2 linked regions of the Sus scrofa genome follow. The protein of the gene in region 1 purifies or fractionates together with the protein of each later gene. This does not show direct contact. Links are inferred from orthologs where the notes say so. Each region holds a gene or a part of one and is shown in the gene's direction. Other genes may lie near its edges.

Region 1 (5,006 bases):
ATTTCTGGAATAGTGACCTACAATCTGCATTTTTAACAAATCACATTTCTGATTCTGAATAGCTAAGAGTCACATTTGGAGAAAAACTAGAACATGATATGTTCTAATTAATTTGGAACCATTAGTTTGATTTTGCTACTTCAGAATTATTTGGCGCTTTGCATGGCTCAGTTACTGACAAGGATTGTTGCAGGTGGGAAGCAAAGGTAAAGGATGACTCCAAGATTTTATGCCTTAACACCTGAATGAAGAATAATGCCATTAATCAAGATGAGGAACACAACAGTAAAATGAGAAATTGTAAGAAAGGAAAGATGATGCACTTTTTTTTTTTTTTTTTTTTTTGGCTTTCAATGAGTTAATTACTGGACTTTTTTGAGAAGTAGAAGGAAGTGGCATTACATACTAACCCTATTCCATGTATGGCTTTGAATAAGGTTGTTAATAAAGGAGACAGGAAACCCAAGGAGCCACCTCATTACTGAAAATGCCCAGGTAGGAAGCTAAAATTGGGGTGTGTCACCAATGGATTTCCTCACACTAGAACCCAGCATTAAGACACCGAGGCCTTGTAATTCTACACTGCAGAAGCAACTGCATTACTCTGTCACCCTGAAGCAGGCAGAAGACACTATCCTGTCCACCTTATCTACAAAAATCCTTTAGAAAAATTTTATTGTAGATTCTATACCTGTTATTTACGACACACTTCCAAATTCAGAATGAATGCAACTGTTCATTGTGTTATCTCCATTTGAACCTAAGTGCTATAAGAGCAAGGACCATGTCCTACTCCTCTACTATTCAGTACTCAGACACAGTGCTAAGCAAGGAGTGAAATATCTGAACAATGCTAAATGAATAATTTTTTTAAAAAACAAATACTAACTTCAACTTCTGGTCTGGTGTTTTGTTTGTATGTTTGCATCTGCTCAAATCAAAGTTCCACGTCACTGATGTCAACGTTAAACAGGCAAAGAAAACTTTATTCAACATTATTGCAACAGAGGAGAGAGGCCAGGACTCTGATCTCAACTCACCAAAAAGTAACAAAAAACTTAAGAGATTTAAGAACAGGGAGCACCTCAGGCCAATTATGATTACTAAATGAAATTACCCAAGAGAAAAGTAAATTTTTCTTTCAGCTTCCTGACAGGAGATAGTTCTACAACTCTGAACAAGGTGCCCCCCTAAATTAGGCTCCTACCCTTCCACAGAGACTGGGAGCTAGTGCTATCTTTGTTGACATTTCAAAAGGATGGCTCCTAATTCTTTAATAAAGAGCCCTGGATATTAACACCACCAATACCGTTTTAAAGATTTATATTTCAAAAACACAGAAAATAAATGCACAGTTACAAGTTTTCTAACATCAATGCTCTAAGGAAGAAAGCCGTATAAAATTTGTACCTGAGCTGAGGGAAACGTCAAAGCGGTCTTAATAAACAATAAGCTGCATATCTGCAGTTTTGCACAAACGAACTCAAATTAGGAGCTTCCAATCTCTTAAAGTATTTTCATGCAAAGTGTTGCTGCACATTTTACACTACTCTCTTTTGTTTACTTTGTTACTAGGGAACCAACCACAGAGGGTTTCCCCTGGCCCGCAGGCAGGGTGCCTGCGCTAGTGGCCTTGCGCGCCTGACGTCACTAAAGGCGCCGTCCCTGGCATGTTAGCAACCGAAAGCGTCCCTAGTAGCAGGGCTGCTGAGATGTACGAACTTCCGGTTCTCCCGGCAGCTGCAGCAGCTGCCGCCTGTGCCACCTGCTGCGGCGGGCCTTAGCCCGGGATTTGGTCACCCTTTCTTCGTTCTTCGCTGCTCCCATGGTCCCACCTGGAGCCAGGGCGGTGGGCCCCGAAGCTCCCACGTGGTGAGAGGGCCGTCCGGGGACGATGAAGGCAACGCACTATCGCTGCTGCCTCAGCCACCTCCTCGCCTCCGCCCTCCTGCTGTTGCTACTACTGCCAGAGTTGAGAGGGCCTTTGGCGGTGCTGCTGCAGGCGGCTGAGGCCGCGCAGGATCCCGGGCCTCCAGACCGTGGGCCGAGGACCCTGCAACCTCTGCCACCTGGCCCCACAGCTCCCCAGTCCCCAGGCCGCGCTCAGGCCGAAGCCACAGGACCACGGGGCGCAGAGGGCGGCAATGGCAGCTTTCCTGGGGCGGAGCTTGCTGCCGACCCAGGCGGGAAGGCGGGGGAAGAAGGCTCAGTGGGTGGCGTCCTTGCTGTGAGCCCTAACCCCAGCGACAAGCCCATGACCCAGCGGGCCCTGACCGTGTTGATGGTGGTGAGTGGTGCGGTGCTGGTGTACTTCGTCGTCAGGACGGTCAGGTGAGGCGAAGCCTCGATGAGCCTCCTTTGCAGGCCCAGTGAGTGACCTGGCATTGCCCTCTCCCCGCCCCCAGTATCATGGGTGCAGACCTGTGATAACTGTCTTAAAAACCTGTGGTACCTTTGGGAGAATTTAGACCACCAAGTGTTTCTCTCTTTCATTTATAAATTATAAATTAGTACCCAATTTCTAAATCAATATTTATATGAGTAACTGAATGGTAATACGGAATGATCTTATTATAGTATTTTATAAAATGTAAAAGAAGAAAAGTTCTTTTAGCAGCAGTTTCTTAGTGTTGGCTTTTAATCCGTCACCTTAATAATTTTCTTGTACCATATGAAGTTTTATACATTCCACCTTTTTTGATCTGGGAAAGTGAAAATTTGGTATGACAGTCACTAATAGTGACTAATAGTCACTGATATGACTTTGTCATAGTCACTATTAGAAACATCTAGGTATTCATTTTGCATGCCACAAAGTAATCCAAAGCGAAGTGTTACTAGTTGCATGATAAGATGGAAAACTGTTACCTATGCATCAAAGGGGAAAAAAATGTCATAAATATGATCTAGTTTTAATATTGGAACGTATGCTTAATATCCTAACAAAACTAAGTATATCTGATTTTAAATTTACAAAAATTTGAATTAGTAAATCAAATTAGTAAATTTGATATTTCACACACAAAAAAACCTTTCTAAAATGAAGTCATCTATAAATAGCAATCCCAAATCATTCAGAAGTTTAATTTTCAAAATGAGTATTTTTGAGCCTATTCCTACTACAGAATGTTAGATTGTAGAATTATCTGAATTTCAGATTCCATACAGATATGGACACTTAATGACATCTTTCACTTTACATATGATGAAACTGACCCAGAAGGGTAAAGTGATTTAACTGGTGTCCTGAGGGATCTAATAATCTTCTGTGATTGTACAATCCACTGTTTGCTTTGTTTGAATTTTTTTTTTCCATTAGCACAGTTTCTATATCTTAACCTATGATCAACCTTTTGATTAAGTAAACCAGGTTATTATGTTGTACCAGGTTATGAATAAATGTAGATGACTGTCACTTATTTTTCTACTCCCCTTAATGCCTTATCAAGTAGAAAAGGAATTAAAAATTCCTATTAGTGATATTGTTATTGTTATAAGCAGCTCTACTTGACACATTCCATTGTTACTGAAGTGAAGTTATATTATGGCACCAATCATTTTAAAATATTCTATGTAATAAGACTGATTTGGAAAATCTATTATAAAGCCTCTTTAGGTTAATTGGGGACCACCTTTTTGAAGGGTTGACATGCGAAGTCAAGACCTCAGTGTTAGAAGACCCAACCAAGAGAAGAGCTGAGGAAACATTGTCTAGTTTCCTCCTTTATAGAGTGTAGGTTTACAGGAATGCAGAGGTTTATTGTTTTAGAAAATAATTCACATTTTTTAATATGATTGCCTACCTGTACTATTTCATATATATTTTAAAATAGATTTAAATTGAAAGTTTCATTTTAAACATCTATTTATTATCTTGTGAAAGGAAAACCAACATCCCTTGGCTTAAATAACTAATTTTAAAAGTACTATGTAAACCAGTGGTTCTTGACATGTGGTCCAGGGAACCCTGGAGGGTATGAGGGCTCTCTGAGCCCTCTTCCTGGGATCTGTAAGAATTATTTTCAAAGTAATATATTCTCTTATAGGTTTATAGGTTCAAATTCATTGATGTAGTTTCAAATTCCACAGTGCGACTAACTTTTAAGAAACCACCTCATGTTGAGTTTTGCTATTACTATCAAAAAAGAAAAAACACCAGTATCTACCATATTTTTTTTTTTCCCACTGTACAGCAAGGGGGTCAGGTTATCCTTACATGTATACATTACAATTACAGTTTTTCCCCCACCCTTTCTTCTGTTGCAACATGAGTATCTAGACATAGTTCTCAACATCTACCATATTTTGTACATTGTTCTATACTGGGAATATAGTAGAGAATAAGACGGACAATGAGTCTTTTCTCATAAAGACTATATATTAATCTTAGAAAGCCTACTTGGTTCCTTCTATATATTTTCCAGTTTCTACAGAGGTGATCTAATTGCTGTTTGGAATATTTCCCAAGTTATTTCTAGTTACATATTTGTTATAACTGAATTAGAGTAAAACAAAACAATATGGATGTTTCATGGAGTTCAAGCATTTTACAAGTGAGATATTCTTGGTGTTTTCTCATGTCATTTAATGAAATGATTTTAGTCCATTCTTCCCTCTTGGAACAAATAAATGATTCTGGTGTGCCATCACACATATTTTGGAAGGGGGGGTGTCAAAGTGGGCATTCACCAAAATGAATGATTTTCATCCTAAAATCAGCAAGCAAAAAGTCTAATTTCTAAACACTGCCCACACATTGTTAGCATCAATCAAGCTTTGGACATCAGGTGGCCAACTGAATTTAGGACTTGGACTGAATGAATGTATTAGATGCTAGTTAGAGTCCAGTTTTTCTCACCCATTGGTTCAGAATTTGGCTGTTAACACACCATGTTAGTGAGTTACCAACAGAATGAGACTGAAAAGACTATACCCTTCCAAGCTTTATAGAAATGAAGATAGAAAATCAATGGCAATAAACATTTATATAAGATTATAAATAAGGT
Region 2 (4,739 bases), on another chromosome or scaffold:
CCTGGGGGAGCTGGAGGGGGCAGACCAGGGGACCCCATGGAAGAGCTGATGACTGGAAAGGGGGAGCCCAGTGGGGGGGGTGGCATCGGGGGTGGGGGTGGGGCCCCAGAGCCTCCAAGGGATGCAGCTGCTGAAGGTGGTAGGGGTGGCCCAGGAGGAGAAGGGGGAGCGGCCCCCTGGGGAAGGGGATTTGGGGAGGAACTGTCTGGGCTTCGGGAGTCTGGGGAGGGGTACACACAGGCAGACACAGACAGGAGAGACAAAAAGAGAAAATGAGTCTTCGATCATCCAACCGGAGACTTTTAATTCTTTCTCTGATCCCCCACCGCACCCCCACCCCACCCCACCCCACCCACCCCTTCCTAAGTTCAGAGGTACCCTGCTGTCAAACAACGGCTTAACTCCTAACTGTGGTGAGAGGAAGGGGTTGCCAAAGAAGAGGACAGTTCAGGTGAGGCACGTTCCAAGCAATGCATTTGGTCACCCCAGGCCTGGGGCATCTCGTGTGGGTGGGGCAGCACGTGGTGTGGACCAGTCAGCACCTCCATTCCCAGTTTGGAGCCAAACCAAGCAGGGAAAAGAGACAGGCGGAAGAGACCCCTCCTAGGACGCAGAATCTGCCTTCAAACGTCCAGAATCCTCAAGCTCAAGGTCTACTGTCCCACTCCTGGGATCTCAGGAGTGTAAGGCCTCAAGCGGCCGGCCACCCCTCGGACGGCGGAAGCTCCCCTTCCCCGCCCCGCCCCGGGGGGAGGGCGCTAAGGCCCTCGGGAGGGAGGGGACGCGTGTTTACAAACAAGGGGGCGGGAGCGCCTGGGAAAGAGCATCAGGGGAGGGGGGGTAGGGGCTGCTGATAACGCGGTCACTGCCTTGCCTGTCCGTCTGTTAGGACACTCACCCCGCCCGCTGTCGCCCATCCCGTCCCGTCCAGCCTGCCCCGGCTCCGGCTCCGGGGTTTGTTGTTCTCCGGCTGCCGCTGCCGCCGCCGCCGCTGCGGGATCCAGCCAGGGCCGCCGCCGCCGCCACCGGGACGCGACCCCACAATGCATTTCTTTTCGCACCCCCACCGGCCCACACTGCCCTGCGGCATGCCGCTGGGGGAGGAAGGGCGGGCGAGCCGCCCAAGACATGATTCCTGGCTGAGTGTAGGGATGCCGAGAGGGTACCAGGGATTCTCAAGAACTGATCGGGGAATTCGGCTAGCACGAGGAAGCCCCAGAGAAAAAGACTTTGGCCTGAACCGAGTCAAATTAAGCGCTTCGCTCTGCTCTGTACCCAAATGACAGCGCCGATGTGGCAGCCATCTTGGTATAGACGGGAAGTCTCCGCGCTAGTTCCCGCCCCCTCGTCTAGTTGGAAACCGAGGAGGCGGTCTCCTCCAGCCTGTTAAGCGGCCTCGCCCAGCATCCCCTCAAATAACCTCCACACTCGCGCGTGCGCGCCAGGACAGGCGCGCTTCATAGCTACCGGGATGCGGCCATATTGGTAAAGTATTGGGACCAAGGTAGAACCGAATTCCCTGTTCTCGCGGGAGCTGGAGGTGGGACTGCCACGTCCGAGCAAACCGGGAAAGGAGAGGATCCCGGAGCCGGTGAGAATAGCCCGCTTTTCTCTGCTGTCCTTTCCAAGCCTTTTTTCTCAACTAGTGGGCCATAGAGACGAGGGCCCAGAGAGTCCAAGAGTGGAGGATCAAAGCCTAGAGCGGTATCCCGGGGGCCCTACATCCGGGAAGGGGTTCGGGATAAAGAAAACGAATCTTGGGGACAATGTGGGTGGGGACAGAATGGGACGGGGAAGCGGTCCATAGACGTGGACAGAGGGCGCTATCGGAGTAAAGCGGACCCTGTATAGGTATACAGTTGAGGGTCAAGTGGAGTCATTGTCTGTGTCCCTCTGGTCAGCGTGATGGCCAGAGGCCTGGGGGCCCCCCACAGGGTGGCCGTGGGACTGCTGACGTGGGCAGCCTTGGGGCTGCTAGTGGCCGGACACGGGGGTCATGGCGACCTGTACGAAGACCTGCAGGAGGACTTGCATGGCCACAGCCACAGGCATTCACATGAGGATTTCCACCATGGACACAGCCATGCCCATGGCCATGGCCATACTCATGAGAGCATCTGGCATGGGCATACCCACGGTCACGATCATGGACATTCACATGAGGATTTGCACCATGGCCATATTCATGGCGACTCCCATGAGAGCCTCTACCACCCAGGACACGGACATGACCATGAGCACAGCCATGGAGGCTATGGGGAATCTGGGGCTCCAGGCATCAAGCAGGACTTGGACACTGTCACTCTCTGGGCCTATGTGAGTCCCCCGGGATGGGGCAGAGGGGGGCGAGTTCTGGATTGTTGGGAAGTCCCACACCTCTTGACCCCTGACTTTCCCTCACTAGGCACTAGGGGCCACAGTGCTCATCTCTGCAGCTCCATTTTTCGTCCTCTTCCTTATCCCGGTGGAGTCCAACTCACCTCGGCACCGCTCTCTGCTCCAGATCCTGCTGAGTTTTGCTTCGGGTGGGCTCTTGGGAGATGCCTTCCTGCACCTCATTCCTCATGCTCTGGGTAAGTGACCTCAAATCTTAGAGTGTTTTATTCTTTGAATGAGAGGGTTCTTTCCTCTTTGTGATCCCTGACCTTCTAGTGTCCCCCCAATACACACCTTTTGTGTGGGATATTCCCTTATCTAACCTTTTCCCCCACTTCTTCCAGAACCCCATTCTCACCACCCTCTGGAGCAGCCCGGACACGGACATTCCCACAGTGGTAAGGAAGGGGAGGATGGAGATAATGGTTTGGGGTGCTAGGGAAGGTCTGTCCCTCCCTGTTCTCCTCTACTTGGGGAGGAAGAGTCTGGAATCTATATTTCTCTTAATGTCTCAATGTGTCCATCCCCAGGCCAGGGCCCCATTCTGTCTGTGGGACTGTGGGTCCTCAGTGGAATTGTCGCCTTTCTTGTGGTGGAGAAATTTGTGAGACACGTGAAAGGAGGACATGAACACAGTCACGGACATGGACATGCTCACGGTCACACGCATGGAGGTCATGGACATGGAAGACAGGGTGAGCCTAGGAAATACTTTAATGAAAACCGTCTTGCCTACCTCTGAATCTGCTCATTTTATGGCTCCTGGGTGGGAGGGGACTCCCCTTTTGAGGACATATTGGTAGGTCTCCATTCCCCACTCTTACCAGCTCCTCTTTTCCCCTCAGAGTGTCCTTCAAAGGAAAAGCAGAGCTCAGAGGAAGAAGAAAAGGAAGCAGGGGCATCGAGGAAGAGAAGAGGAGGGAGCACAAGGCCCAAAGATGGGCCAGTGAGACCTCAGCATTCTGGAGAGGAAAAAGCAGGGTCAGGTGAGGGCCAGGGTTGCATACACTTGGACAAGGGGCATCATCACGAGTTACATGGAAAAGGGCTGTGGGTAATGGCAGGTGTCTGGAAACACTGGGGCTGGGCATGAAGTGGTCTCTTGGGGGAGATGTGATAATGGCTGACTAGGGTTCGGACTAGGGTTGAGGAGTGCCTCTGATTGTTTCATCTTTCTTTTCTCCTGTACAAGACTTGCGTGTGTCAGGGTATCTGAATCTGGCTGCTGACCTGGCACACAACTTCACGGATGGTCTAGCTATTGGTGCTTCATTTCGAGGAGGTCGGGGGCTCGGGATCCTGACCACGATGACTGTGCTGCTACATGAAGTGCCCCATGAAGTGGGGGACTTTGCCATCTTGGTCCAGTCTGGCTGCAGCAAAAAGCAGGTTGGTGTACCAGACATGGTTGTCTCAAGCCCTTTACCCCCTGCTCACCCAGCCCAAACTCAGACTGCCACCCATTAGTTCCAAGCAAGTTGTACTACAGGCCTACCTAGTTTGATTGTGCTTCTTTATTGTACTTAACAGATATTGTGTTTTTTACAAACTTGTGACAACCCTGTGTTGAATAAGTCTGTTGACGCCATTTTTTTCCATCAGCACTTATTCATTTCATGTCTCTGTGTCACAGTTTGGTAATTCTTGCAATATTTCAAACCTTTTCATTTTTATCTCATTTGGTATGTTCATCTGTGATCAGTGATCTTTGATGTCATAACGGCAAAAAGATTGTAACTTGTTGAAAGCTCAGATGAAGATTAGAATTTTTTAGTACCTTCTTTTTTTTTTTTTTCTTTAATGGCTGCGGCCGTGGCAATGGTAGTTCCCAGGCTGGGGATCGAACCCTTACCTTTGCGGCGACCCAAGCTGCTACAGTCAGATTCTTAACCCACTGTGCCACAGCAGAAATTCCATAAAGTAATTTTTAATTAAGCTGTGTATATGGTGGACATAATGCTGCTGCACACTTACTAGACTGCAGTATAGTGTAAATATAACTTATATGCACTGGAAGCCGAAAAAACTCACATAACTTGCTTTATCGTGATATTCACTTTTGTGATATTTACTTTATCGTGGTGTTCTGGAACTGAACTCAGCATCTCTGAAGTATTGTTGGCAACCGAACTTCTATAAATGAGGGATGAAAAGTTCTATTTCGTCTTGTAGCTCAGTATTTCTTTTTTTTTTTTGTCTTTTGTCTTTTTGTTGTTGTTGTTGTTGCTATTTCCTGGGCCGCTCCCACGGCATATGGAGGTTCCCAGGCTAGGGGTTGAATCCGAGCTGCAGCCACAGGCCCATGCCAGAGCCACAGCAACGCGGGATCCGAGCCGCGTCTGCAACCTACACCACAGCTCACG

The links. The genes of interacting proteins can lie anywhere in the genome.
Region 2: the proteins of FAM174A (region 1) and SLC39A7 purify together in Homo sapiens (co-immunoprecipitation; 3 studies listed by BioGRID and IntAct, with this or other methods). This does not show direct contact. The link is inferred for Sus scrofa from reciprocal best matches to the Homo sapiens genes FAM174A and SLC39A7.

The regions. Positions count from the first base shown.
Region 1 is NC_010444.4:106,553,594-106,558,599, forward strand, and holds the start of FAM174A (membrane protein FAM174A), read left to right. Parts: upstream 1-1,648; 5' UTR 1,649-1,894; coding exon 1,895-2,331; intron 2,332-5,006.
Region 2 is NC_010449.5:25,241,525-25,246,263, forward strand, and holds the start of SLC39A7 (zinc transporter SLC39A7), read left to right. Parts: upstream 1-1,337; 5' UTR 1,338-1,591; exon of another isoform or gene 1,592-1,901; 5' UTR 1,902-1,905; coding exon 1,906-2,316; intron 2,317-2,404; coding exon 2,405-2,573; intron 2,574-2,720; coding exon 2,721-2,774; intron 2,775-2,906; coding exon 2,907-3,071; intron 3,072-3,221; coding exon 3,222-3,362; intron 3,363-3,568; coding exon 3,569-3,765; intron 3,766-4,739. Other genes in the region: RXRB (retinoic acid receptor RXR-beta), read right to left, coding at 1-220, 899-1,130. UniProt on the Homo sapiens protein: Transports Zn(2+) from the endoplasmic reticulum (ER)/Golgi apparatus to the cytosol, playing an essential role in the regulation of cytosolic zinc levels.